2 linked regions of the Caenorhabditis elegans genome follow. The protein of the gene in region 1 interacts with the protein of each later gene in a pairwise test. Each region holds a gene or a part of one and is shown in the gene's direction. Other genes may lie near its edges. The genes, in order: egl-15 and ced-2.

Evidence for each region.
Region 2: the proteins of egl-15 (region 1) and ced-2 interact in a two-hybrid assay, tested with the Caenorhabditis elegans proteins (one study listed by BioGRID).

The regions. Positions count from the first base shown.
Region 1 is NC_003284.9:11,012,021-11,025,388, forward strand, and holds egl-15 (receptor protein-tyrosine kinase), read left to right. Parts: upstream 1-4,379; 5' UTR 4,380-4,420; coding exon 4,421-4,508; intron 4,509-4,561; coding exon 4,562-4,623; intron 4,624-4,670; coding exon 4,671-4,832; intron 4,833-5,415; coding exon 5,416-5,485; intron 5,486-5,559; coding exon 5,560-5,910; intron 5,911-5,924; coding exon of another isoform or gene 5,925-6,119; intron 6,120-6,194; coding exon 6,195-6,430; intron 6,431-6,504; coding exon 6,505-6,744; intron 6,745-6,792; coding exon 6,793-6,954; intron 6,955-7,000; coding exon 7,001-7,108; intron 7,109-7,157; coding exon 7,158-7,594; intron 7,595-7,662; coding exon 7,663-7,741; intron 7,742-7,796; coding exon 7,797-8,090; intron 8,091-8,266; coding exon 8,267-8,463; intron 8,464-8,513; coding exon 8,514-8,597; intron 8,598-9,129; coding exon 9,130-9,234; intron 9,235-9,288; coding exon 9,289-9,451; intron 9,452-9,496; coding exon 9,497-9,610; intron 9,611-9,702; coding exon 9,703-9,829; coding exon of another isoform or gene 9,830-9,873; and 13 more. Other genes in the region: F58A3.3 (RHDF1), read left to right, coding at 642-728, 791-943, 994-1,116, 1,178-1,284, 1,342-1,413, 1,461-1,656, 2,173-2,272, 2,316-2,392. UniProt on the Caenorhabditis elegans protein: Receptor tyrosine kinase required for larval development. May phosphorylate adapter protein soc-1 which in turn may result in the recruitment and/or activation of phosphatase ptp-2.
Region 2 is NC_003282.8:1,592,077-1,604,334, forward strand, and holds ced-2 (Cell death abnormality protein 2), read left to right. Parts: upstream 1-5,241; 5' UTR 5,242-5,243; coding exon 5,244-5,682; intron 5,683-8,101; coding exon 8,102-8,304; intron 8,305-9,095; coding exon 9,096-9,293; 3' UTR 9,294-9,545; downstream 9,546-12,258. Other genes in the region: npp-8 (Nucleoporin_N domain-containing protein), read right to left, coding at 1,321-1,878, 3,091-3,292, 3,339-3,435, 3,495-3,729; putative histone-lysine N-methyltransferase set-23, read left to right, coding at 10,912-11,510. UniProt on the Caenorhabditis elegans protein: Required for cell migration and engulfment of cell corpses but not for programmed cell death/apoptosis. Has a role in the migration of the 2 gonadal distal tip cells (DTCs).

The DNA.
Region 1 (13,368 bases):
TATTCTGATAGTCATTTGAAATTTGGATGAAGACCTGATTTCGTTAAACACATGCATTCCAGCTTGTTTTTGATATCTGTTATCTTAAGATTGAAATTTTTTAGTTTTTTGCCATATTTTTATCTTCTGTACTATGACCGCTTTAGCTAAGTTCCATCCATTTACATTACAGGACAAAACGAAAACTGAAATCGACAAGTTGATACGTGAAGAGTGAATCATGAATCTGTGTTGCAGACCAACTGCTGGCCGACCGACATGTCCCCATCTTTCTCTTCTTATTTTTGCGCAGTGATTTCTTTTTTTTGCGAAAACCGTTTTGAACTTCAACCTAGTTTTGTACAAATTAGTTTTGACAAAACTCAATTTTCAAAATTTGACAAAAAAAACTGACCGGTTGGTTTTGAAGTACATTCAATAAAACTCGTGATTGATCAATATGTATTACTGCCATATAACTCTCTGTTTTCTTTTCCGACTATTTGGATTGACCGATCAAAAGATACTATGATTGATCTTTCATACCTTCTTAGATTCTTGTCAAATTCCTTAGCGTTTCTTTTTTATTTCCGGTAGATCTTTGTCCATAATGTGATTTTAATTTATAATTTGCTTATTTTAAGAACAATATCTATCAAACAATGGGAAATGAAGAAGATGCCTTCGAAGAACCAAAACCTCTTCTTAGAAGAACGTCTCGAAAAGGCAGTTTCCGAAAGTTTATTGTTGTAGGTTAATTTTAATTTATTTATTGTTAAATTCTGAACGACGTTCAAAAATCATTTTTTAGAGTTTAACCAGTCCACCGCCAGAAACTGAGTTTATTTATCATGAGGAACAAGAAGAGGACGAGGAACTTCAAGAATTACAATTACCACCCCCACCAATGCAAAGAGTTTCGAGAATGGGAAGTATTCGAAAAGCAATGACAATAAGCTTTCAGGTTAATTTAATTTTAAAAGGTGACAATGTGAAAAAAAATCATATTTTAAGAATAGCCTACGGAGAACTCGAAAAATATTTGGAATTGGCGTTGCACCGGTTACTGAATATTTACCAAAATCTGAACAAGATGTTCATATTCAAAGATTCAACAGAAACGAATCTGTACGACTTGTGAGTTTTCGTTCTAAGAATATTAAAATTTCACTTTGACAACAATAATTGCAAATTTCAGAGTCGATGCTCCACGAAGCATTACGAAGTTATAAAAACACACTCCGAAGATAAAATCTTCACAAGCGTAAGGCCTATTCCTCCGTCTAGTACGTGTCTGTTAACCAAGTACGAAAATTTACATAATCATATTTTGAAAATCAATATAGAAACTTTATTTTTCAGATTCTTTCCCCGAATCGAAAAACCTCCAAATCAGAAAAAGACACTTCTTTCCAGTTTTGAACGTAAAAGGAGGTAACTTTCAAAAGACATCCAACTGTTGTCTAATGATTTTTTAAAAGGTACCATCAAACGTTTGGTGCAGATCATCACGCCAAAGAACAACTTTTCTGTCCACTTCAAGCTTCTCAAGTCGAGTTTGCATTCAAAACACAAGTGAAATCCGATATAGTGATTAAAGTACAAGCTCCAAATGGTGAATCCAGTGGATACATATATCCCAACAATATTGCATACACCAGTTTTACACCATCAAATGTGAGCTACCGCTTAGAAAATGAGTTTTTGTAGTGTGAACAAAGCTGACTTTAGAAGCTGACCCATATTACATACCTATTATTAAAATTATGTTTTAAATTATTCAAATAATAATTAGAGTTGTGAAACAGTGAAATTTAATGAAATACATTTTGTGTTGTAAAAACATGTGTTTCAATAAGTTTTTCGAAATATGCAAAAAAACTTCAATCAATCGACAGAATTAAAAAAAATTTTGCATTGTTTTTTTTTTAACTTTCCAACTCAAATTTTAATTTATTGCGTTTAGTGAAGATTTGTTTCAAGATTAAAACTATACCACGTATCGCAAATAAAAACTGTTATTAATTTAAAATGCGTGTAGGCACATAATTACCTGCTTGTGCGAAATAATCAATTTTACATGATTTAAAAATTTTCGATTTGCTACTTTATAATTCATAAATAACACATCAACGATTGACGTTTTTTAGCACATACACTATTATAAACAAATTATGCTTGATACCGTTTTAGATTGGGTGTGGTCATGGTAAATGGCTAGTTCATGTGGCTATTCGAAAAGGATGCAAATTTCATCATGGATATACACGGCAGTTCAATCTTATTGGTCAAGGTATTTGGTTTATTAAACATTCGTGTTGCAATTCTGTATTTAGGAGTTCTGTTCTTCCAAGTTGATATGGCTGGTACATTACGGGACGACGGAAAATTGTGGCTTGACTGCCTGAATTAACAGTTGCCACACATATCGTTTAATGATAATTGTAAGCTTTATTGTATCCATTTCATTGTTTTCATTCAATTTTAGATTGCTTTAATAAATAGAAGAGATTTACGGCGTTAAATCATTTGTTACTTGTTTTGTCCTCCTCGTGACATTGAATGAGGTGGTGCCGTTCCACTGCGCGTGATATATGATACGCAGCCAATTCTCGGTAGACCCGCTTACTTCTTCGACCTTTCGCATTTAATTGCATTCTGATATCTATTTTCATATTGACCACATGTTGTTCACCTGCACACTGTCAAAATGACTCATTTACAATAACTTTTCGCGTTCGAGATTTATAAAGGAATGCAACACAAACAGGTGCGCGTAAATAAAGAAAAACCGAAATTGAATTAGCTTTTGCATCTAAATATGTCGCCTACAATTATCCCGTGTTCTATCATTTTTGGCGACTGACTGCCTTATGCGCAATGCCCAATCACTAACCCCTTTTCTTTTTAACGCATCTCTTTTCTCATCATTGTCCATTCTCGTTTATCTCTCCTTCTTTTTCTAATTCCCTTGATTTTCTCTCACTTTCTGATTGCATTTTTCTATATTGATTAGCCTGTAGACACATACCAAATACTCCAAAAAATAAGACCCACAGCAACAAAAAACCGACGCCTATGTTGTCGGTTACCGTCTCATGATTGTAATGCCCCCTTCTCTTTTTCTTATCACTCTTTTCTAATGGAATTCTTGGGGGCAACAAACTGGTTTAATGACAAAATTGAAACAAGAAATCCATTCACCTACCTGTTAAAATTGAGTAAATGATGTGACATTTGAATTAATTAGACTCGCAACTAACCATCTCGTATCCGCGATAAGCATCTCTTGGAATGTTGGTCACACCCTGTTGTGCAACTATTAAGTTTTGAAATTACAATTTTATAATACATAACTTCTACAAAAAAGTGCCTAGAAATCGCACAGATTAAATTACACTTCAATAATCAAAAAGCTGGTTTATAACTAAATGTTCTAATCATTAATCACAACCTAAGTTTTTTATGAACATTTTCTTTTTATTTTTTTAGGAATATTTAGATAGAATGTTTCACTAAAGAAGTATCTCATTATTTTGAAAACTAGCCTTATAATCTCAAATTTGATCTAATTTAAACTATTTTATATGCAATGTATGACGTTGGTTTTGAAAAGTTACCATAGCGTTATTACGCTTACATCAGCTGCTAAAATTTGTTTTTATTATACATAACGAGTTTTTATAAAACCTCAAATTGCTCTAAAAAAATTACATAACTCTATAACATAGCCGTGATCATTGAAAAGATAGACCCACTTTATTCGCTATATCATACTGCAAGACTAGCAATAAAAAGTTACATTGTGTCCGGAAATGTTGAAAGGTTTTTGTTTCCGTAACATATGCACTGCATCCGGAAGAAACACCTCCAGATGTGACTTCTTATTCAAGGTTTTGCTTCGATATCAATCGAAACGGCATTGTGTCATTCCACCTTGTCGGCGAAGACAACGAATCCACAACATCTTAACATCTGGACGTCTTTCGTCGTCTCAATTTGACGCTCGTTCACTTTTTACTCTTTTTATTATCGCCCTCCGCTCGCTGCTCGTTTTTTTTTTCTATGAGCAACATATGCGTAAATTTAGACGGTTCTAATTATGATTTGCTTTAGTTTCTTGATTGTTCCCAGAGATCATTAGACCTTATGACCCAGAGGGTCGGAACTTTTGAAAACGTTGCGCGGGTGTCGCCAATTTGTTACATATGGTGGTGGGGTATGGAGCCAGTAATATATAACCCATGGCTCGCGCAGAGGTACCAGTAAGAACCCAACAAATAAATCTTTGTACCGGTCTGATTCACCTCTCTCACATGTATTCAATTTCAAAAGTTTCACAGCTTCTCCTTCTGAGTGTTTTAATATTTTGATTATTAGTAGATAAATAGTAGATACAAAAGATTGCAGAAATTCGAATGTTTGCCTGATACATATCATCATGAGTTATTTCCTTGCATCCTGCCTCGGTGTGGGCTTACTTTCTACAGTTTCTTGTTCTCTTCAAGGATTGACCAGTCATTACAGAGGTAAGAGAGTTGTCACAAAATCTAATTTATTTTCATATTATTCGATTTTACAGAAAATATTCCCCGTTTCAAGCATGTAGCAAACGAAAGATACGAAGTATTTCTTGGAGATGAGGTTTGGTGGAACAAATATTTAACAGCAATAGATGTACACAGTTTTAGATAAAATTTGACTGTCAAACCGCGGCGTCAAAGATTTCTGCCTTTGTCGAATGGTATCGTAATGACAAGTTACTCAAAAATGATCAAATAGATAAAGACAAAATTCGGAAAGATAATAACAGGATGATGCTTCACTTGAAGAATATTGATGTTTCAGATCAGGTATATGATTTTTTATTATTTTTGTGGTTTTTTTTTTGTTGAACAATGTGGTTAGAACACCAAGTATCGCATTTCTCCTATTAGAATTGCATGCATTTCTATTTTTTTAATTGACAATTTAGAGTGCAAAGACTGATAGGAATTCAAGACTAACATACACTATGAAACTGTATTTCGATGTCTCGTTTCAAATTTGGTTTTTCTTGTTTTTAACCTAAAATACTGGAGTTACCTAAAATACCGTAAAGAAACAATACAACATGATAATTAAAATGATTTAATGTTTGAAAAATGTTTGGAATTATTAAAAAAAAACATTTAACCAATAAAAAATATCTTGTAGATGCTAAAGTTTGTGTGATATCTCTTGCGCGTGTTTAGTTCTGCAAGAATAATATGAAAGAAAATAGGAAAAAAAACTATAACCGACTACCATGAGTTTTAAGCATCATCAAAAATATATATTAATTCAAAAATACCAACAAACTGAGAACTTTTTTCAGCAGTTTTTGACTCTGTCAACTTAAAAAAAAACGTTTATTTAAAAACGTTTAAAAACGTTTAAAAACTAATATTTTTGCAGGGTCTTTGGTCTTGCCGCGTACACAACGCATATGGACAAATATCACGAAATTTTACAGTTGAAGTTATTGGTAAGTATCTCTATTGCTCGATTCTTTGCAGTGCAAGCATAATTTCTTCCATGCATGGTGTGCTTTGTTTTCAGACTTTTGTGATTACTTCCTGTTTCCCGATATTCATCATTTGAACATTCCGATGGAATGTGTTTGTTTATGGAAATACAACAAAGAAGCAAAACGATCTGATGTGAACTATGCAGCGGTAACAGGAGAAGTCTGCTCAAAGTACGCATCTCGCATGATAAATAGAGCACGAAAACCGTTGCCAATGATTCCTTGCTTTGGTGATCACTGCAAAGAATTTGACACTACTCCTGTTTCGGATTTTGGTTTACCTGGGAAACCCGAGGACGATCCTTTAGTAAAGCGTGTTGTTTTGAAAAAAGATGATGTGATTGTGCCCGTGCATGACTCTGAAGAAAGTCCATCCGAATCCAGTAAGTTATTTCAGATCCACTTAAACTGTTCGATTGGCTCACTGAGCATCGAGTATTCGATATTAGTCATTTATTGCCAAAATTGCTACCTCCTGCGGAAATGAGGAGAGTGAAAAGCCAATTGGGCGGATGGGAGAAGATGAATAATGAACAGAAAATTGTTCGAGCCAGGCACATTCTGAGATTAAGACAGATCAATCATGCTTTGGGTAGGCTACATCAGTGGTTGAATTATTTTAAATGCTTCATTTTCTTCTTATATATCTCAGTAAACTTGTTTTTAGGAACCGAATTTATCAATGCTGATGAAAAAGAAAACAAAGAAGACGAAGAAGAAGACTATAGTGTTTCACAACCGGTTGCTCCAGATGCGGGGCTCACTGAGCTGAATATTACTGCGGAAGAGCCACCATATTTCAAGTCAAACGACAACATTGTATTGTTTAATGAAACGCATGCTCTACCAGCAGGACGAACATTGAAACTTAATTGTCGCGCAAAAGGATACCCTGAGCCACAGGTACGATTCATGAAAAACTTGAAATTTTTCACGTAAAGAAACATTGGATTTTCAATCAATGCATTTGATCACAGATTATCTGGTACAAAAACGGCAAAATGTTGAAGAAAAGTAGTGCTCGGTCCGGCGGATACGAATTCAAGTTCAATAGATGGTCTTTAGAAGTGGAAGATGCTGTCGTAGCAGATTCTGGGGAGTTTCATTGTGAAGCATTGAACAAAGTTGGAAGTGCAAAAAAGTATTTCCATGTGATCATAGTCAACAGAATGAGAAGACCGCCCATTATCGTTCCGAATATTTTGGCTAATCAATCAGTAAGATTTTGCCTCACGGCATCTATAGTTTCAATGTTTTATATTTAGGTAAATATTAATGACACTGCCACATTCCACTGCAAAGTTGTCTCTGACTTATTGCCTCATATTATTTGGGTACGCATCAACAAAATCAATGGGTCGTATAGCTACTACAACAATTCAGCTGAAGAGTATATGTTCAATTACACAGAGATGGACACTTTTGATGTATGTTATGAAACATGTTCTCATCTATCAAAAAGTGTCGTTTCAGAAAGCGCACGTCCATCACGTTGGTGATGAATCGACGCTTACTATTTTCAATGTGTCGCTGGATGATCAGGGAATATATGCTTGTCTCAGTGGAAACTCACTGGGGATGGTAAGAAATTGATTGAACCTTCTAGTTGAACAAATTAAGAGTTTTACAGTCGATGGCGAATGCCACTTTAACGGTGAATGAGTTTATGGCCATACATTTGCTCACTGGTGACGAACCGAAGATAGATAGATGGACAACATCCGATTATATATTTACAACAATTCTGCTTTTCTTACTGCTTGCTGCAACATTATTTGGAATTTTGTTTATGGTGTGCAAACAAACACTACACAAAAAAGGATTCATGGATGATACTGTTGGATTAGTGGCAAGAAAAAAAAGAGTCGTAGTTAGCAAAAGGCCAATGAATGAAGATAATGAGAATTCGGATGATGAGCCATCACCTTATCAAATTCAAATAATAGAGACTCCAATTACAAAGAAAGAAGCAGCGAGAAAACAAAGAAAACGTATGAATTCAGAAAACACTGTTCTTTCGGAATACGAGGTTGATTCGGATCCAGTTTGGGAAGTTGAAAGATCAAAGTGGGTCAAATCTTTAATACATTCAGCCAGACAAGAATTCAATTTAAACATTAAATTTCAACGTTTAGATTGAGTTTGGTTCACATGCTTGGCGAGGGAGCATTTGGAGAAGTTTGGAAAGCAACATACAAAGAAACAGAAAACAATGTAATTTTGGGAAAACAAAAAAACAAGAAAATCTGAAATTTTAATTGCGTTTCAGGAAATCGCAGTTGCTGTCAAAAAATTGAAAATGTCAGCTCACGAAAAAGAGCTCATTGACTTGGTCAGTGAAATGGAAACATTCAAAGTTATAGGAGAACATGAGAACGTGTTGCGATTGATTGGATGCTGTACAGGCGCTGGTCCGCTTTATGTCGTTGTTGAGCTGTGCAAGCATGGGAATTTGCGCGATTTCTTGAGAGCACATAGACCTAAGGAAGAGAAGGCAAAAAAGTCCAGCCAAGAATTGACGGATTATTTGGAACCACGAAAAGCATCTGATAAGGATGACATTGTGAGTGGCTTATGTTTTGAATAAAATATGATTTTTTCCACTGACAAAATTTGAAATACTCATCAAACTTTGAAAATCTTGTAGAAAAGCGTTTTCCTGATTGCTCATTATCAGTAAACCTGTCTTAGTCAGTTTTAAATTTACCAGAGTAATTTTGCTGAAATTTTCATTTTTAGGAGCTCATACCAAATTTGACACAACGCCATCTTGTACAATTTGCTTGGCAAGTGGCTCAAGGAATGAACTTCTTGGCATCAAAGAAGATCATACATCGTGATTTGGCAGCAAGAAATGTTCTCGTCGGTGATGGACACGTTCTGAAAATATCGGATTTTGGACTATCGAGAGATGTGCACTGTAACGATTATTATAGGTTGTAACATTATTCCTAATGATATATTACTGATGATATATTACTTCCAGAAAACGTGGAAACGGCAGACTTCCCATTAAATGGATGGCTTTAGAAGCGTTGGACTCAAATGTATACACCGTGGAAAGTGATGTGTGAGTAATGGTTTTCTGTGGTAGAAAAGTTTCGTGGAGGTCCTTTCCAGGTTCACGTTTGAAAAAAATTGATTTTTCAATATAATCACATATGTCTTATTTGTCTTTTCACACAAGTTAATCATCCTGAGTCAACCTGAGCATCTGAATCGGGATAGCTGTATATTTATTTTACTTATTTTGGGTTTTTAGGATACAACGTTTTAGGATTTTAATTTAGGGAAAAACATTAAACATAAATATATTTGTGATATGTCTGAATTGAAGTTGTTTCCCGCCTGTGGAAAAATAGTTATAAAAAACTATTGAACGACAATTTAATTTAACAAAAAATATATTATTCAAATTTGAATATCAAAAAAAAAAAATACTATTGCTTCCAAAACTATCACTCTGTGAACAATGCATTCACCATTTTTCTTGGCACGCTTTTATTTCAGTTTTCCATTTACATTTTTTGGGGCAATTTTAGGGCACGACAGTGGTTGTGTACCAAAATTAATACTATAATGACTCATTGATACTTTTGTAGATGGTCATATGGAGTTCTCCTTTGGGAAATCATGACACTTGGTGGAACTCCCTATCCAACGATTGCCATGCCTGAACTCTATGCTAACCTCAAAGAAGGATACAGGTGAAAATATTGAGAAAAACATGCAAATCTCACCTGTCTGACATGTTTTTGCAGAATGGAGCCACCACATTTATGTCCCCAAGAAGTCTACCATTTGATGTGCAGCTGCTGGAGAGAAAAATTGGAAGAACGACCATCTTTTAAAACAATCGTAGATTATTTGGATTGGATGTTAACAATGACAAATGAGACTATTGAGGGATCACAAGAATTTAATGTAAGGTCATACATCTGTGACAACATTTTTGAGGATATTTTCCAGGATCAATTTTTCTCCGAAAGATCCACGGCATCAGGTCCAGTTTCTCCTATGGAGTCATTCCAGAAAAAGAGAAAACATCGCCCTCTTTCAGCTCCAGTGAATCTTCCATCAGAGGTAGATCAAAACGTAATTTCGTACATAACGTATTTAAATTTTAAAAGAATTTAACCTATGAATTCGGAATCCATAAAGCACTGTTTTTGCAGCCACAACACACAATTTGCGACGACTATGAGTCCAATTTTTCTGTAGAACCACCCAATGATCCGAATCATCTCTACTGCAATGACAATATGCTGAAAAATCACATTATTACACCGGAAACCTCTCAACGTATTCCATCAAACAACAATAGCATGAGCAAACCCGAATTTTGACCGTTTTTAGTGTACATCCACAAAGTGCTCAACGAACCAATCGGAAACGGGTATGTTCGACAAGATAAATTAGCTCGTGCCGTCAGCGGTGTTGCCAACCAATCTCTCGACTCTGCCCTCGGTTCACCAGCTTGGCCTTCGTACGACCGTCCCTCTAACAAAGCTTCTTGTTTAGGTTCGTTTTCAGTTCGCTACTGACATTTAAGTTCAGGGCAACGATTTCAATGAATTTATAGATGATGAGAAGCATCACTACTATTACTCATAGTAGTCTCTCCGCCGTTATCAGATGTCATTTAAAAGTCCATTGTGGTAATCATGTTTCCGTGTTGTGTGTTTTTGTCCTGTAACATTTTTGTTTGGTGTAATGGGTTGCAGAACATCAAATCACATAAGTTAGCTTACAGATTTGCCTCCGTCAAGTGTCCAGACTAACATGACACTTATAAATGTTGTGCTATGTAACCTTTAAAGTTTCATTTGCAGATCAAACTCACCAGTATTATAATACAACGTCTAAAATTCAATATCTTCATTTTACCTTCGATGATCCAGATTGTATGACTAGGCAAGTATCGAAACAAATTTTAATAATTAGTAAACAAACTTGCTAGATAAAAACAGCCAATAGAGTTTTTTTATTGTTTAAAAACTTTACATTAAAATAAAACCTGAAATTTAAGTTGATAAATATGATACAGTCACACTTACTATTAGTTCAAAAATGTTGATCTTTCAAAATCTCGAATTCAACTAGAACTTGAATAATTTTTCACACATTAATTCCATCACAATTAGTTCTAAACCTAAAAATTAAAAAGCTAACGTTTTAATTTCTAAAAGAGAAGAAACACTTCAAAATGTTTATCTTTAGAACTTGTACGTGTAGGAGCGGCCCAATTATCACCCTCTTTTGCATAATTTTAGGAAAATTATTGTTTACCAGTTACTGAAACAGTTCTTAAATGATCATAGAAAAGCGTAAAAATTAACCAAAATCCGAAATAAAATGTGTCAATAAAAACAATTATAAAACTGAAGTTGTTCTTTTACTTTTAGATCAAGAGATTCTGCAATATTCGAGGAATCATATCATCCTAACTATATCCAGTCACATCCACTCTACTCGAAAATCATAATCAAAAAGAACATGTGAGTGCCAATTCTGGCATGAAAACACTACTACAGAGTTCAGCGAACTTCTTCTTTTCAGGACGCCTCGCAACCCGTTGCCGACAAAGGAAACTATTGTCTAACTTCGTTTTTGACTACTTTTTTCGTCCTCTTTTCTTTGTTTGCTGCTTGCTATGATCTAGTCATTTTTGACCAGATTTCTGCTTTACTTTTCCTTCTCCACACTTATGCTCAGTTTTCATTCATGTTTAAATTGATACACTTAATAATTGTTTTTACAGAGCGTTTGTTTTTTGTTGTCTATAATGTTTTTATTTTATGTGCGCTTTGAAATTCAATTGAAAAATTCACAATAAAACATATAGTCTTGAATAAAACTAATTGTGTTACAGAATTTTAATAGTTGTTGAGTATATAATCTTATAGCAATGCAAAACTTCGAACGCAGCAGGTGCTCATGCTGAAATCTAAATTAAATTGAAACAGAAACCTCCGATACCTGCAATAGAATTTACATGTCTTTTATGAATAAGACAGGATTACTTAGTAACCGCTTTTTATTTAATTTTACACTAAAAAAACATGTTTTTTCTGCTAGTTCTATGATATATTCGAAGAAGTATTGTTCAATATTTAGAACCATTGTTTCGAAAGGTGCTATCAACTTACGCTGCCTTTGAAGTGTAGAAGTTTTGTCAGAGGTTCACAAGCAGACTTATTATTATTCATTTCCAGGAATAAGCAATATTTTGATCAAAATGTTCGCTGTTTATGTCAATTTAATATGCTCACGACCAAAGTACAAGTTCCCGATAGACCATCCTTTCAGGTGAATCTAACATTTAAAAATTTTGCGAGACATTTGCTTTGAAAATTAAATGAGATATAAAAATCTTTAAAAGCCAGGTACTGTTGTTCTGTTCGAGAAAACTATCACAAAAAGATGACTGGCTCATAACTTTGATACGAATAGCAGTTCAAATATGTCACTGTTTTTCTTGTTTGAGTATTCATATGGTGAACAAAAAAGAACAGTTATTTTTTGCATTTGCTAGATTTTACCCAATATCAATTCTATTATGATATCAGAACAGAGAAAACTCAGAGAACACATTCCAGAGACATACTACGCATATGGCCGGAGGGCCATGTGTACCCATTTTCCTCCTTGACACACACACACACATACACACACGTATCTTCTGCTCAACGAAAAAACCGCGAAGAGAGGGGCGGATATGCACGGCCTAATTCAAATCGACTACCGTCGTCTCCTCCAACTGCATTGATTGACTGACCTCTGTTGATGAGAGCGGGGAGACACCTCAAATCCTCTTATTTTGTTTTTTTTGTTTTGTTTCTTGTTTTTTACCTTCATCAATTAACTTTTCGGTAACCTACCACGACATAACAGTATCCCATTTGAACATTTTTTGAAAGAGATAGTTTTTGGAACTGGTTCAGAAACTGTCTTGTATGGCTCGTTCTTACAAATTTTCTCAATCAAATTCACGTTTTTTGCAGACTACAAAGTCTTTTGTCATCCTCATCACAATGGGTTTTCTTCCAATACGCTATTTTCTCACGTTTATTCATTATTCATCCACTGAGCGGGGAATATTAGGAAGAGACACTTTTGTCTCAAATTCCTGTTTCCACAAAAAAGAAAAAGAGCAGCACCAGCACTGAATGCCAGATGCCAAAACTGCCAAAACCTTTCGACCCGCTTCCTCCGCTCTTGAACCCTTTTCCTCCATCTTTTTTCCTGAAATTTCAAAAAAAAAAAAACGAAAAGAAAAGACGAGCCACCACAACCACTAGAACCACCCAAGCCACTTGCTCTTTCCTTTTTTCGTTTCCATATGTAAACGAGTAGTGTCTCAACTCTTTCCTCTCTTCAATATCTATCTCAATCTCATTCCATCTCTCTTTACCACCCAGATGTGTATGTGGTTGTGTGTATGTATGCTCTAATAACTCGCGCGTCGGCGGTCCGTCCCATTTTCTGCGGGTTCCACTCAAACAGTGCATGAGTGACCTTTTGTTGATGAGAAATGGTGGGAATGGTAAGCCTGAGCAGCAAACGCACGTTACTCACCATTCTTCACATTTTGGTTCAGATACTTCTCAATTCTTTGTAGTGATCTAAATTAGTTTTTTTCTTTAACAAAACTAGATTTGATTGATTTATTTATTTTCTGCAATGTTTGTTTCTAAATTTGAAAACTCTTCAATTTTGAAAGTAAAATCAGTTTTGGTCAAATAACAATTAATATCAGCGTCTAATGTTTTAAGCAAAATCATTTAACAAATCTGTTGTCACTGAAACATCACATTTTATCAATGCCCCACAATTAACCT
Region 2 (12,258 bases), on another chromosome or scaffold:
GTAGGCCATTTTTTGAGGCGTCATAACTTTTTTATCGAGAAGTTTTCATGAAGTTTCATTATGAAATTCGGTGTTTTCAGACAATTTTGAGCGTAATAAACCAATCAAAAAAATTCGACTACACCACCTTTAGTAATTTTTAATTTAAAAAAAAGCTAAAAACTGCTCGAAAAAGAATTCAAAACCAATAAATATGGGGTTAATGTCCTAAATTTAATTCAAATGAGTAAAAAAGTTGTATCTAGTTTTTAAACCAATGCTCTCGTCAAGAGGTTTTTACTTTGAAAAAACCATTGAAAATTAGATATTTTCGAGCTTTCTGGGCAAAAATTGTAAAATTTTCGGCCGAAACCCAGGAAACTGAGCGATTTTTTCAAATTCACTTTTTTTGAAGCTCCAATCAATTTTAGAGCAGAATTTCAAGACTATAAAAAGTTAAAGGTGGGGTACCGAAATTTGAGACTTTCCTTTTTTTAGACACAAAATGGCCCAAAACTACCAAATTTCGTAAAGAGACGTTCTGAAAATTTTTCAAAAAAAAAGTTATGGCCGCTCAAAGTTTTGGAAAAAACGGCCTATTTTTAGCTAAAATCTCAAATTTTGGCAACTTATCGGTGTTGCAGCGGTTAGAACTTAATTAATTTTTATTTGATTGGCATCCTTTAATGCACGTTTTGGCATTTTATTACGTGTAATTTCGTTGGCAGAGATGTTTTTTGGCCAATAGGGACGCATATATGATACAATTTTGCGTCCTCATTGGCCAAAAAACCATCTCAATCAACGAAATAACAAGTAATAAAATGCCAAAAAATGCATTGAAAGATGACGATCAAATAAAAATTAAGATCCCCAACCGCTGCGACTCCGAGAAGTTGCCGAAATTCGGGGCTTTAACTAAAAATATGCCATTTTTTCGAAAACTTTGAGCGGCCATAACTTTTTTTTTGAAAAATTTTCAGAACGTCTCATTACGAAATTTGGTAGTTTTGGATTATTTTGGGTCTAAAAAAAGGAAAGTCTCAAATTTCGGTACTCCACCTTTAACTTTTTATAGTCTTGAAATTCTGCTCTAAAATTGATTGGAGCTTCAAAAAAAGTGAATTTGAAAAAATCGCTCAGTTTCCTGGGTTTCGGCCGAAAATTTTACAATTTTTGCCCAGAAAGCTCGAAAATATCTAATTTTTAATGGTTTTTTTTAAAGTAAAAAACTTTCGACGAGAGCATTGGTTTAAAAACTAGATACAACTTTTTTACTCTTTTTTTTTACTCTTGTTTGTTAAATCCCGATTTTTCCAAATTTTCGGCTAAAAAACGAACTCTTTCATTAGGTGTTCCACTATTATTAAACATAGCCATCGTAGACTGCGGGCCCGTCGACACTGAAAAGTACAATCGAACTCCTTTGGCAGTAGTTGCAACTAGGTTAAGCGCAGCCGATTGTGAAGCTTCCAACGCCTTAATCGATGTAATACTGTGAAAAGATGTCTCATCGTGACCGAATTGCGTCAGAATATGAGCTTCATGTGCAATTTTCGAGATGGGAACACTCAAAAATTTGGCACAAGCTGCTCCATCCGCTCCGAGATCCCAGACACTGACGGTGCCGGCTCGGCCGAGCAAATACATGATATTTCGGGATTTATCGATTGTAATCTGATCGAGGGGCTCTTTTGAAGAGCCGAAGAATGGTAGAGAGATCAGTGTTCCGAGAATTGATGCAGTTTGATTTACACCTCGACACTTGTGATTTGTGGAGCCAAACCATCCGTTTTGTTTCTCGTAGACGAATTCGAAGAGTTGATCGTCGGCTGTATAGAATACTCGACCATTTGAAGTATACGAAATATCATTCACTGTTGCTCCGTCAAGGGCTATCTGAAAAAAAAAATTGGGGATTTTCTAGAGAAATTGCTGAAAAAGCTCAATTTTTGGAGTGTTTTCCAATGTAAAATTGCGATGAAATTCATATAAAAATTGACGATTTGGGGATTTTTATGATAATTTTGGCTTGAAATGGGTTTCGTTTTCAGAAAATATATTTAAAAAAAATAAAGAGTATCGTCTAAAACTAGTGATATTTTCAAAATTTTCGCTCATTTCAGAACAATTTTGGCTTAAAATTGAGCTTTTTAATGGGGATTTGCCAGATACAACATAAAAATTTGACGATTTTCTAGAGAAATTGCTGAAAATGGAAGATTTTTCTGGAAATTATGTGAAAAAATAAAATTTGAGCTCAATTTTAGAAAAAAAATAGACTTAAAAGGAGCGTTTTTATGTACTGGAATTATAGTAAAGTGCTGGAAATTTCAGATTTTTAAGGAAAATTTTGGCTTAAAATGAGCTTTTTTTTCAGAAAAATTAATGAAAAATTGAAGATTTCCGCAAAAAACTGTGTTTATTTTCAAAATTTTAAATTTTTTAGAAAAAAATTTGGCTTGAAAATACCGTTTTTGTGTTATATTGAAGTTTCTCGTCGAAAATTACTGTTATTTTCGAAATTTTAGCTCATTTTTGAAAAATTCTCGCAAAAAAAATTGAGCTTTTTAATGGAAATTTGCGATTTTCTAGAGAAATTGTTGAAAAGCTCAATTTTTGGGAAAATTTAGGCTTAAAATGAGCTTTTTTTATCGGAAAATAAATGAAAAATTGGAGATTTTCGCATAAAACAACACATATTTTCGAAAATTCGGCTTGAAATGAGCGTTTTCAACGACAAATTGTTCTAAAAAAAACGAATAAAAATTGAAGATTATCGAAATCCCCAATTTTTGGTTTGAAATGAGCATTTTTGATGTAAAATTGCTTTGAAGACTCAAAAAATTAGTCAGAAACTCGGATTTTCAAGTTTTCGAGTAGAAAAAAAAACAGAAAAGCGTTATCAGCAAATTTGAGCTAGAAATAGACGAAAAATCCCGTTGTTTAAATTTTTTTTGTCGATTTTTAAGTAAAAATCGCACGGAACATCGATTTTCCCGTGTTTTGAAGACTCAAAATCTCCAAACTTTTGCGATTTTTGATTCAAAAACTTGGGTTTTCTTGGTAATTCTTCCTTCTTTTTTCTCCATTTTCACTCGAATTTCGAACCTTGAAGCATCGTTTTGAGTCGATAGAAATGCTACTGGCGCCATTTTCCACGAAATCAAAGACCGGATAAAGACATATATCGGAAATTGTGCCGACAACGAGCCCATATTGAATTTCCGGCTCAAAAACGCCTGGCTTGATGTTCACCAGCGACACCTTCAGAATTGCAGCGTCTGATGAGTCGAAAAACGCCAAATCGTCGCTGAAAATTCGATTTTTTTTCGGTATTTTTCGGCTTTTCCGCTTACTTTGTCTCGTAATTCCACATATAGAGATTGTTATCAATGACGACCCAAACTCGGCTGATTTGTGTGAAGAATCCCATGCTAAACTCGCTGTGAATATCTGAAAATTCACCAATTTTTCGCTGAAAAACCCCCCCATCGGAAACAATGCTCTCTCACTGCTCATTTGCATTTGAAGCTCTCCGGGTATTGGGATTCGCCGTGTGCTCACAAACTCCGGCGCTCCCTTCACATAAAACTTCTCGCCGAGACCGGAGACGGGCGTCGTGCCGTGTTGTGTGAGGCGATCGAAGAAATCCGATGTCTCCATCATCTGCTCGACGTGGTGTGCCACCTTGTTCGCCGCCGCTTCTGCCGAGTCGGCCGAGCCCAACTCCATAAACGAGACACTCATCTCGGAGGATGGAAAGCTGCTGAAAAAGTCGGAAAATTTTGAGTGATTTTTGATATTTTAACCTTTAAACTTGAAAATTATAGCAAAAAACTGTAAAAAACCCGGAAAACTTCCCGCAAAACGCAACTTTTCGCGCAAAATTCCGAATTCAAATTGCAATGCGGCGCGGAAAAGTGGGCGGGGTCGCGTGTTGCAAGTCCCCCGCACACCTCATCGTGTACTCCTCTCGGACAAGCGCAACAGCTGACAATTTATTTTTGCGTGCAAAAAAAGTCGTTTGTTTGCAATTTCTCACCAGTTTTCGGAGATTTTCTTGATTTTTTGCGGTTGCGCATCGTAAAATACGTATTTAAAATGTGTAAACTTTGGCTCCAGTCGACAAGAAGCTTATGAGTCATTGCCTGGGAAAATTGCTCATCAATTTCCTCATTTTTACGAATAATTGGTGTTTCAATGCGTATAAAAACAAGAAATCGGTAAATTTAGTATGAAATATATTCGAAAATAAAGGTTTTAAGCGTATTTTTCAATTTTCTTCTACTAAAAACCGAACTTTAGCCTAAAAACCTGCTTATTCTGCTCGAAATTCTCGATTTCGCCATGTTTTCCAATTTTTTAACACAGTTTTTCAAAAAAATTCTTCATTTTTCCCATAATTTAGCCGAAAAACTCAACTATTTTGCCCTCTTTTTCCCTAAAACTCGCCATTTCCTACCAAAATTTGAAAATTTTCACTGTGTCCAATCGATTTTTCTTCCTAAAAGTACCATTTTCTCCAATGTTCATTTATTTTTCAGAAATTTTCACTAGAATTACTAGATTTTCTGTGCCAAAACCACGATTTTCAGCAATTTCTTTCTTTAAAATCTTATTTTTTGCCATTTTAAGGTACTTTTCCAACGAAATTCCTGATTTTTTGATTTTTCCACGCAAGTTTTGGCCGATTTTTAACTGATTTTCAGCATTTTTTCAGCCAAAAAAACATCCATTTTTGTTCATTTCCTGAATTTTTTAAATGGAAATTCCTTGATTTTCTTGGAAAATCACGCTAATTATTATTCAATTTCCAACTTTTTCATCCAATTTTCTGCCTATATTGACTCGTTTTCCTTTAAAAAATCGAATTTTCACCCGTTTTTTCACATTTTCAGCAATGTTTAGGTTGAAAATCATATTTTTATTCATTTTAAAATATTTTTTCCCACGAAATTCTTGATTTTTTTTTTGAAGATTTTTGCGTTTTCTTCTCAAAGATGGTGATTTTTGGCCGATTTTCATAAATTTTCGCTCTCAAAAACAAGATTTTAAGCATTTTTCAGCCGAAAAAACTTTCCCCTTTTATATAATTTTTCTTGATTTTTCGTCTTTTTTTTCTGGATTTTTAGGAATTTCTCGTGATTTTTGATGATTTTCCGTCTATTTGGGTTACGTTTTCCAGAAAATTTTCCCAACTTTGACCAATTTTGCGCGCCTAAAAATTCCACGTTTCTAAACAATTTCCCGCATTTTCAGAAATGACGACAAACGGGTTCGATCCATTCGAGTGGCGTTCATTCTACTTCCCAGGAATGAGCCGTGAAGAGGCTCACAAGTTGCTCGGCGAGCCACAAGTATCGATCGGCACCTTCCTAATGCGGGATAGCTCACGCCCCGGTGAATATTCACTGACAGTACGTGAAGCCGACGAGGGAAATGCCGTTTGTCATTATTTGATTGAAAGAGGAGAACCGAAAGAAGATGGAACTGCTGCAGCTGGCGTGAAAATCGCGAATCAGTCGTTTCCAGACATTCCGGCGTTGTTGAATCATTTTAAAATGCGAGTTTTGACTGAGGCAAGCCTGCTGGCCGCCTACAAGAAGCCTATCATTGAGGTTGTCGTCGGAACATTCAAATTCACAGGGGAACGAGAGACAGATCTTCCGTTTGAGCAAGGAGAGCGGCTCGAGATTCTTTGTGAGCTTTAAAGCAGCACTTTTTTGATTAAAGGTGGACTAAACCCTGTGGGGAACTTGCTTTATTGAAATTTAAATTTGCCCATCGAAAACGTCAAAAATTAACTAAAAATCTCAATTTTTCGGCGATTTTAATTGAGAAATGGCTTGAGAAAGTGGTAAAATTTGGCAAAACTTGGTTTTTAATAGTTTTTTTTTTGCATTTGGCTTCAATTTCCCCGAATTTTCAGATTTTTTAATCGAAAAAGTGCTCTTAAAGCTCACAAAGAATCTCGAGCCGCTAAATCAGTGGATTTTTCGGGGATTTCACGAGAAAATTGACATTTCTAGTAGTTTAAATGGCATTTTCCGAACCTTTGTTCTTTCTTCTCTAAGAAGTGCTCGAGATTCCAGAAATTGATTTTTTTTCCAGAAAAAACGTTATAATTGTGAGGAAATCGACATTTTTTCTTGCATTTGGCACTATTTTCTCCGAATTTTTAGATTTTTTAAAGGCGGACCCAGTGGGGAAATTGCTTTAAAACACGCCTATGGGGCCACAATGACAGAATATCATGATTAAAAAATTCAAAAAAATTTCCCTGATTTTATATGATTTTTTGAAAATTGAAAAAAAATCTCAGTTTTCACCTAATTATTTTTGAATTTCCGCCAATTGGATTTTTTCAATGGAGCGCGCTTGCATTATTTTCATTAATTTTCAAAATTTTATTTCTTCTCATTATTGGACTGATTTTCTTCATTTTTTGGAGTTTTTCATCGGAAAATGGAAGAGAAATAAACAAGAAAAATGCAAATTGTTTGTTAAAAATTAACTGAAATTTTCTAAAACTGTGATTTCTTGAGTTCTGACAACGACAAGCCTGAAATTAGTATATTTTACAGTTTTACGCATTTTCAGTTACTTTTAAAAAATCATTTTGCATTTTTCTTGTTGTTTTCTTCGATTTTCCGATGAAAAACCACAAAAAATGAAGAAAATCAGTCCAATAATGAGAAGAAATAGAATTAATTAATGAAAATAATGCAAGCGCGCTCCAACGAACGAGTTCAATTGGCGGAAATTCAAATAGGAATTAGGTGAAAACTGAGATTTTTTCAATTTTCAAAAAATCATTTAAAATCATAAAAAAAAATTTTGAATTTTTTAATCATGATATTCTGTCATTGTGACCCCATAGGCGTGTTTTAAAGCAATTTCCCCACTGAGCGTAGTCCACCTTTAAATAATCTAAAAATACGGAGAAAATAGTGCCAAATGCAAGAAAAAATGTCGATTTCCTCACAATTATAACGTTTTTTTCTGGAAAAAAAATCAATTTCTGGAATCTCGAGCACTTCTTAGAGAAGAAAGACCAAAGGTTCGGAAAATGCCATTTAAACTACGAGAAATGAGTTTTCTCGTGAAATCCCCGAAAATCCACTGATTTAGCGGCTCGAGATTCTTTGTGAGCTTTAAGAGCACTTTTTCGATTAAAAAATCTGAAAATTCGGGGAAATTGAAGCCAAATGCAAAAAAAAAACTATTAAAAACCAAGTTTTGCCAAATTTTACCACTTTCTCAAGCCATTTCTCAATTAAAATCGCCGAAAAATCGAGATTTTTAGTTAATTTTTGACGTTTTCGATGGGCAAATTTAAATTTCCGATTGTTACCATGTTAGTGAGAAAATGAGCAATTTTCAGTAAATTTCCACCCATTTTCTCCTGTTTTTATTGGAAAATGGTAAATTTTGACTGTTTTTCAAGAAAACCAGAAACTTTTGGTAAATTTCCACATTTTTTTAATCCAAAAAGCCGCAAAAATGTTAAAAATTTACGTTTTTCAATGGAAAAATGCGATTTTCTACAAAATTCGCCTAATTTTAACCCGGTTTAGTAGAAAAATGCGAAATTCAGTGCATTATGACTATTTTCCTAATGAAAACAAGAAATTTCAGTCATTTTTACTATTTTCAACTGGAAAATGGAAAGTTTCTGCGAATTTCGACTGTTTTTCACGAAAAAACAACAAAATTCGATCAATTTTGCCATTTTTTCACGAAAAAAACTTTTATTTTATGAAAAAATTCAAAAACCCGGACTCATCGTTGTGAGACCCTGTCCACCCACCCCACTGCGCCTTTAAACTTGTGTCGATTTACGCGGTGTTTTTTTTTGGAGAAACTCTATTTTCGGACGAATTTAAACTGTTTTTAAGGCAATTTTTCACTTAAAACCGCAAAATTATCTGAAAAATAAAATTATAAACGAATTTTATAATGGAAATACGAAATTTTACCTGTAAAAACCATAAAATTTGAAAAAAAAACCGTGTTTTTTGATTTTCTCCCGTTTTTCTCAAGATTTTGTGCATTTTCCAAGTTTTTTTCGGTAATTTTCCTCGAAAATACTAGATTTTTAATAATTTTTTTTTTCCAGCAAAAACGAACCAGGATTGGTGGGAGGCGAGAAACGCGTTGGGAACCACTGGATTAGTGCCGGCAAACTATGTACAAATTCAGATGGAATTTCACAATGACAGAACCTCAAAAGGCGCCAGTCAATCGTCGATCGGAAGCAGCGGAGGTGGCGCCGAACGATTTTCGAGCGCCAGCACGAGCAGTGATAATATTGAGCTCCAGGTGTGGAAAATTGCCGGAAAAATCCACAAATTTCAGATTTTTTGCTGAAAAATTGCGTTTTTTAGTCAATTTTTGACATTTTTCGATGGGAAAATTTCGAATTTCGAGACGATTTTCCTTGTAAATTACAGAATTTTAATGGGAAAGTTGGATCTGAAATTTCTCTTTAAAAATTTGCTCAATTTTTACCGTTTTTAGTGAAAATTCGGTCATATTTTGAAATTTTCACTGAAAAAAAAATGGAAATTTCAGTCAATTTTTAACATTTCTAGTGGAAAAATCGAAAATTTCCTAATATTTCGACCATATTCCAAGAATAAACGAAGCATTTCAGGCAACTTTGACATTTTTTCACGGAAAACACCAATTTTTAGATTTTTCTATTGGAAAATGCGAAATTTCAGTCAATTTCCATCTTTCTAATGAATATTCAATGATTTTTTATTAATTCTAGTTGGAAAATGTCAAATTTCAGTGAATTTCGGCTGTTTTTGTCAAAAAAAAACGAATAATTTCGATCAATTTTGACCTTTTTACTTAAAAAAACTTTTTTTTTTTCTCAAAAAATTTAAAAATCCGGCTCATCGCTGCGAGACCCTTCCACCAACCCTACTGCGCCTTTAAACTTGTGTCGATTTACGCGGTGTTTTTTTTCGGAGAAACTCTATTTTCAGGCCGTTTTCAAGTTATTTTCCACCTAAAATCTGCAAAATTAACTGAAAAATGAAATTATTAACGATTTTTATCATGAAAAACATCTCCTAAACCGAAAAAAAAATTCAATATTTCAGCCCCGTCTGCCAGCAAAAGCCAAAGTGACGTTCGATCGTGTCCCAAACGCCTACGATCCGACCCAATTGCGTGTGAAAAAGGGGCAAACAGTGCTTGTAACTCAGAAAATGTCCAACGGAATGTACAAAGCGGAACTCGACGGCCAAATTGGCTCGGTGCCTCATACATACCTCAGATTCACCGCCGTCAGCGAATAAAATCGTTTTTTTTTTCTAAATTTTTAACCTTGAAATTTATTGATTCGCTTGCCCCTCCACCAGTTTTCCTCTAATACATTACAGCTTTACCATAGAAAAAAATCGTTTTTTTTTCCAAATTATATTTATAATGATATCATGCACAATTTTCGTTGCCTTTTCCGCCCACCGAACCCCAATTCGTGTCCATTCCATTTTGTTCACTTTTCCCTTTCAACCTGCCGGATGATTAATAAACCGTTTTAATTATGATTTTTTCGAATTTTTGTTGGAAAATGAGGTGCTATAGAGCCTCTGAGAGTACTTTTTAAGAAAAAAATGTCATAATTTTGGAGTTTTTTTCAAAGTTTTGAAAATTTACTTGAAGATTTCCAGCAAATTGCAAAAAAATCCGATTTTTCGACGTATTTTGGTGAATTTTCGGCCTTTTTTTTTCGAATTTTCTCTGAAATTGCAATAAATTCTGGTTTTTCAGGCTAAAAAACGGTCAATTTTTTCTATTTTCAACTGGAAAATGGAAAGTTTCTCTGAACTTCGACTGTTTTTCACGAAAAAACAACAAATTTTGATCAAATTTGCCATTTTTTCACGAAAAAAACTTTTATTTTATGAAAAATTCAAATACCCCGGGCCATCGTTGCGAGACCCTTTCACTCTCCATACTGCGCCTTTAAACTTGTGTCGATTTACGCGGTGTTTTTTTTTTGGAGAAACTCTGTTTTCTGTCGAATTTAAACCTTTTTCAAGCTATTTTTCACTTAAAAACGGGAAAATTAACTGAAAAATTAAATTATAAACGATTTTTAACGGTTTAGTGCAGTTTTTTAAAATAAAATTTCAGAAAATTTAGATTTTAAAGCCACATTATCGAATTTTGCCGATTTTTTCTCAGATTTCTATTGAAAACCCGCCGTTTCCTCTTAAAGCTGAAAGATTTTCCCCAAATTTGAACCATTTTCTCGCAGATTTCGCCTAGAAATTCGAATTTTTGGGGCAAAAAATATAATTTTCCGAATTTCGTCTGAGATCCCGCCTAGAAATGTGAAAAATTTGATTTTTTTTTTTGGATTTCAGTAGAAAAATGTTAAAAACTGGATTTTCTCCCGAATTTCGATAATTTTGTTACAGATTCCGCCTAAAAATGTGATAAATTCCGAATTTTTTCACTAAAATTCTTAATTTTTTAGAAATTCAGATAATTTATAGTTTTTTTTTCAGAGTTTTGAACAATTTTCTTCAAGATTTCCATTCAATTGCAAGAAAAAAATCCGATTTTGTATGAAAAAATCACAAAAAAAATTTGAAAGCTCGGCGTATTTTTCTCGATTTTTCTTTGAAATTGCTATAAATTCTTGTGAATTTTTTAGTTAAAAACGGTTTTTGTGAAAAAAAAAACCAACATTTTTTCGCAGATTTCGCCTAGAAATTCGAATTTTTGAGGCAAAAAAAATTACAATTTTCCGAATTTCGTCTGAGATTCCGCCTAAAAATGCGAAAAAATCCGGATTTTTTTCGTGGAAAAATGTTGAAAAATGGATTTTCTCTCGAATTTCGACAATTTTCTGATAGTTTTTTGTTTTTCCGCCTAAAAACTTACAAAAATTTCAAATTTCAGATAATGAATTATGAGAAAATTGATAGCACAATTCCCGGGCCAGGAATCTCTGAAACCGACTGGAATGACGTATTCGAAGGATGTAACTGCGAGGCTGAGTGCTCTTCAGCCGCCGGTTGCTCGTGTCTAATCAATAAAATCGATAATTACACTGTCGATGGAAAAATCAATAAATCATCGGAGCTTCTAATCGAGTGCTCCGATCAATGTGCCTGCATACTGCTCCCAACTTCATGTAGGAATCGAGTTGTGCAATGTGGACCACAGAAAAAGCTGGAAATTTTCAGCACTTGTGAGATGGCAAAAGGATTCGGAGTTCGAGCCGGCGAGCAGATAGCCGCCGGCGAATTTGTGTGCGAATACGCTGGGGAATGTATTGGCGAGCAAGAAGTTGAACGGAGATGTCGAGAATTCCGAGGAGACGATAATTATACGCTTACGTTGAAGGAGTTTTTCGGTGGAAAACCCGTGAAAACGTTCGTAGACCCGCGCCTACGTGGAAATATCGGACGGTTTTTAAATCATAGCTGTGAGCCGAATTGTGAGATTATTTTGGCTCGCCTTGGCAGAATGATTCCCGCGGCGGGGATTTTTGCGAAACGGTGATTTTTTTAAGCCGTTGGTGACGTATTCACTGCAACTTTTTCCTCACGAGGGATGAGGAAAAGTGGTTTCTAGGCCATGGCCGAGGGGCCGACAAGTTTCAGCGGCCATTTATCTTGCTTTGTTTTCCGCCTGTTTTCTTTTGTTTTTCACAGCTTTTTCCCGTTTTTTCTTATTAAAACTGATAAATAAATATTTTTTGCAGATGCTAAAAGAATTTCCAAGTGAAAAAATTATGTATTCAGTGGGCAAGCAGCGGTGAAAGTGGTCAATGCAATATGATGGATTACGGGAATACTAAACCCAAACTTTTTCTGAAACAGGATACATATGTTGCTTAAATGCTGAAATTACCTGATTTTCATAACGAGACCGCTGAAAAAGTTTTGAGGTTTTCAAAATTCAACTTTTTGTGCGAAAATCTCTACTTTTTTACCAAAAAAGTTGAATTTTGGAAACCTCAAAACTTTTTCAGCGGTCTCGATATGAAAATCAGGTAGCTTCAGCATCTAAGCAGCATATGTATCATGTTTCAGAAAAAGTTTAGGTTTTGTATTCCCGTAATCCATCATATTGCATTGCCCACTTTCACCGCTGCTTGCCCACTGAATACATGATTTTTTTACTTGGAAATTGTTTTAGCATCTGCAAAAAATATTTATTTATCAGTTTTATTAAGAAAAAACGAAAAAAATCGATGAAAAACAAAAGAAAACAGGCGGAAAACAAAGCAAGATAAATGGCCGC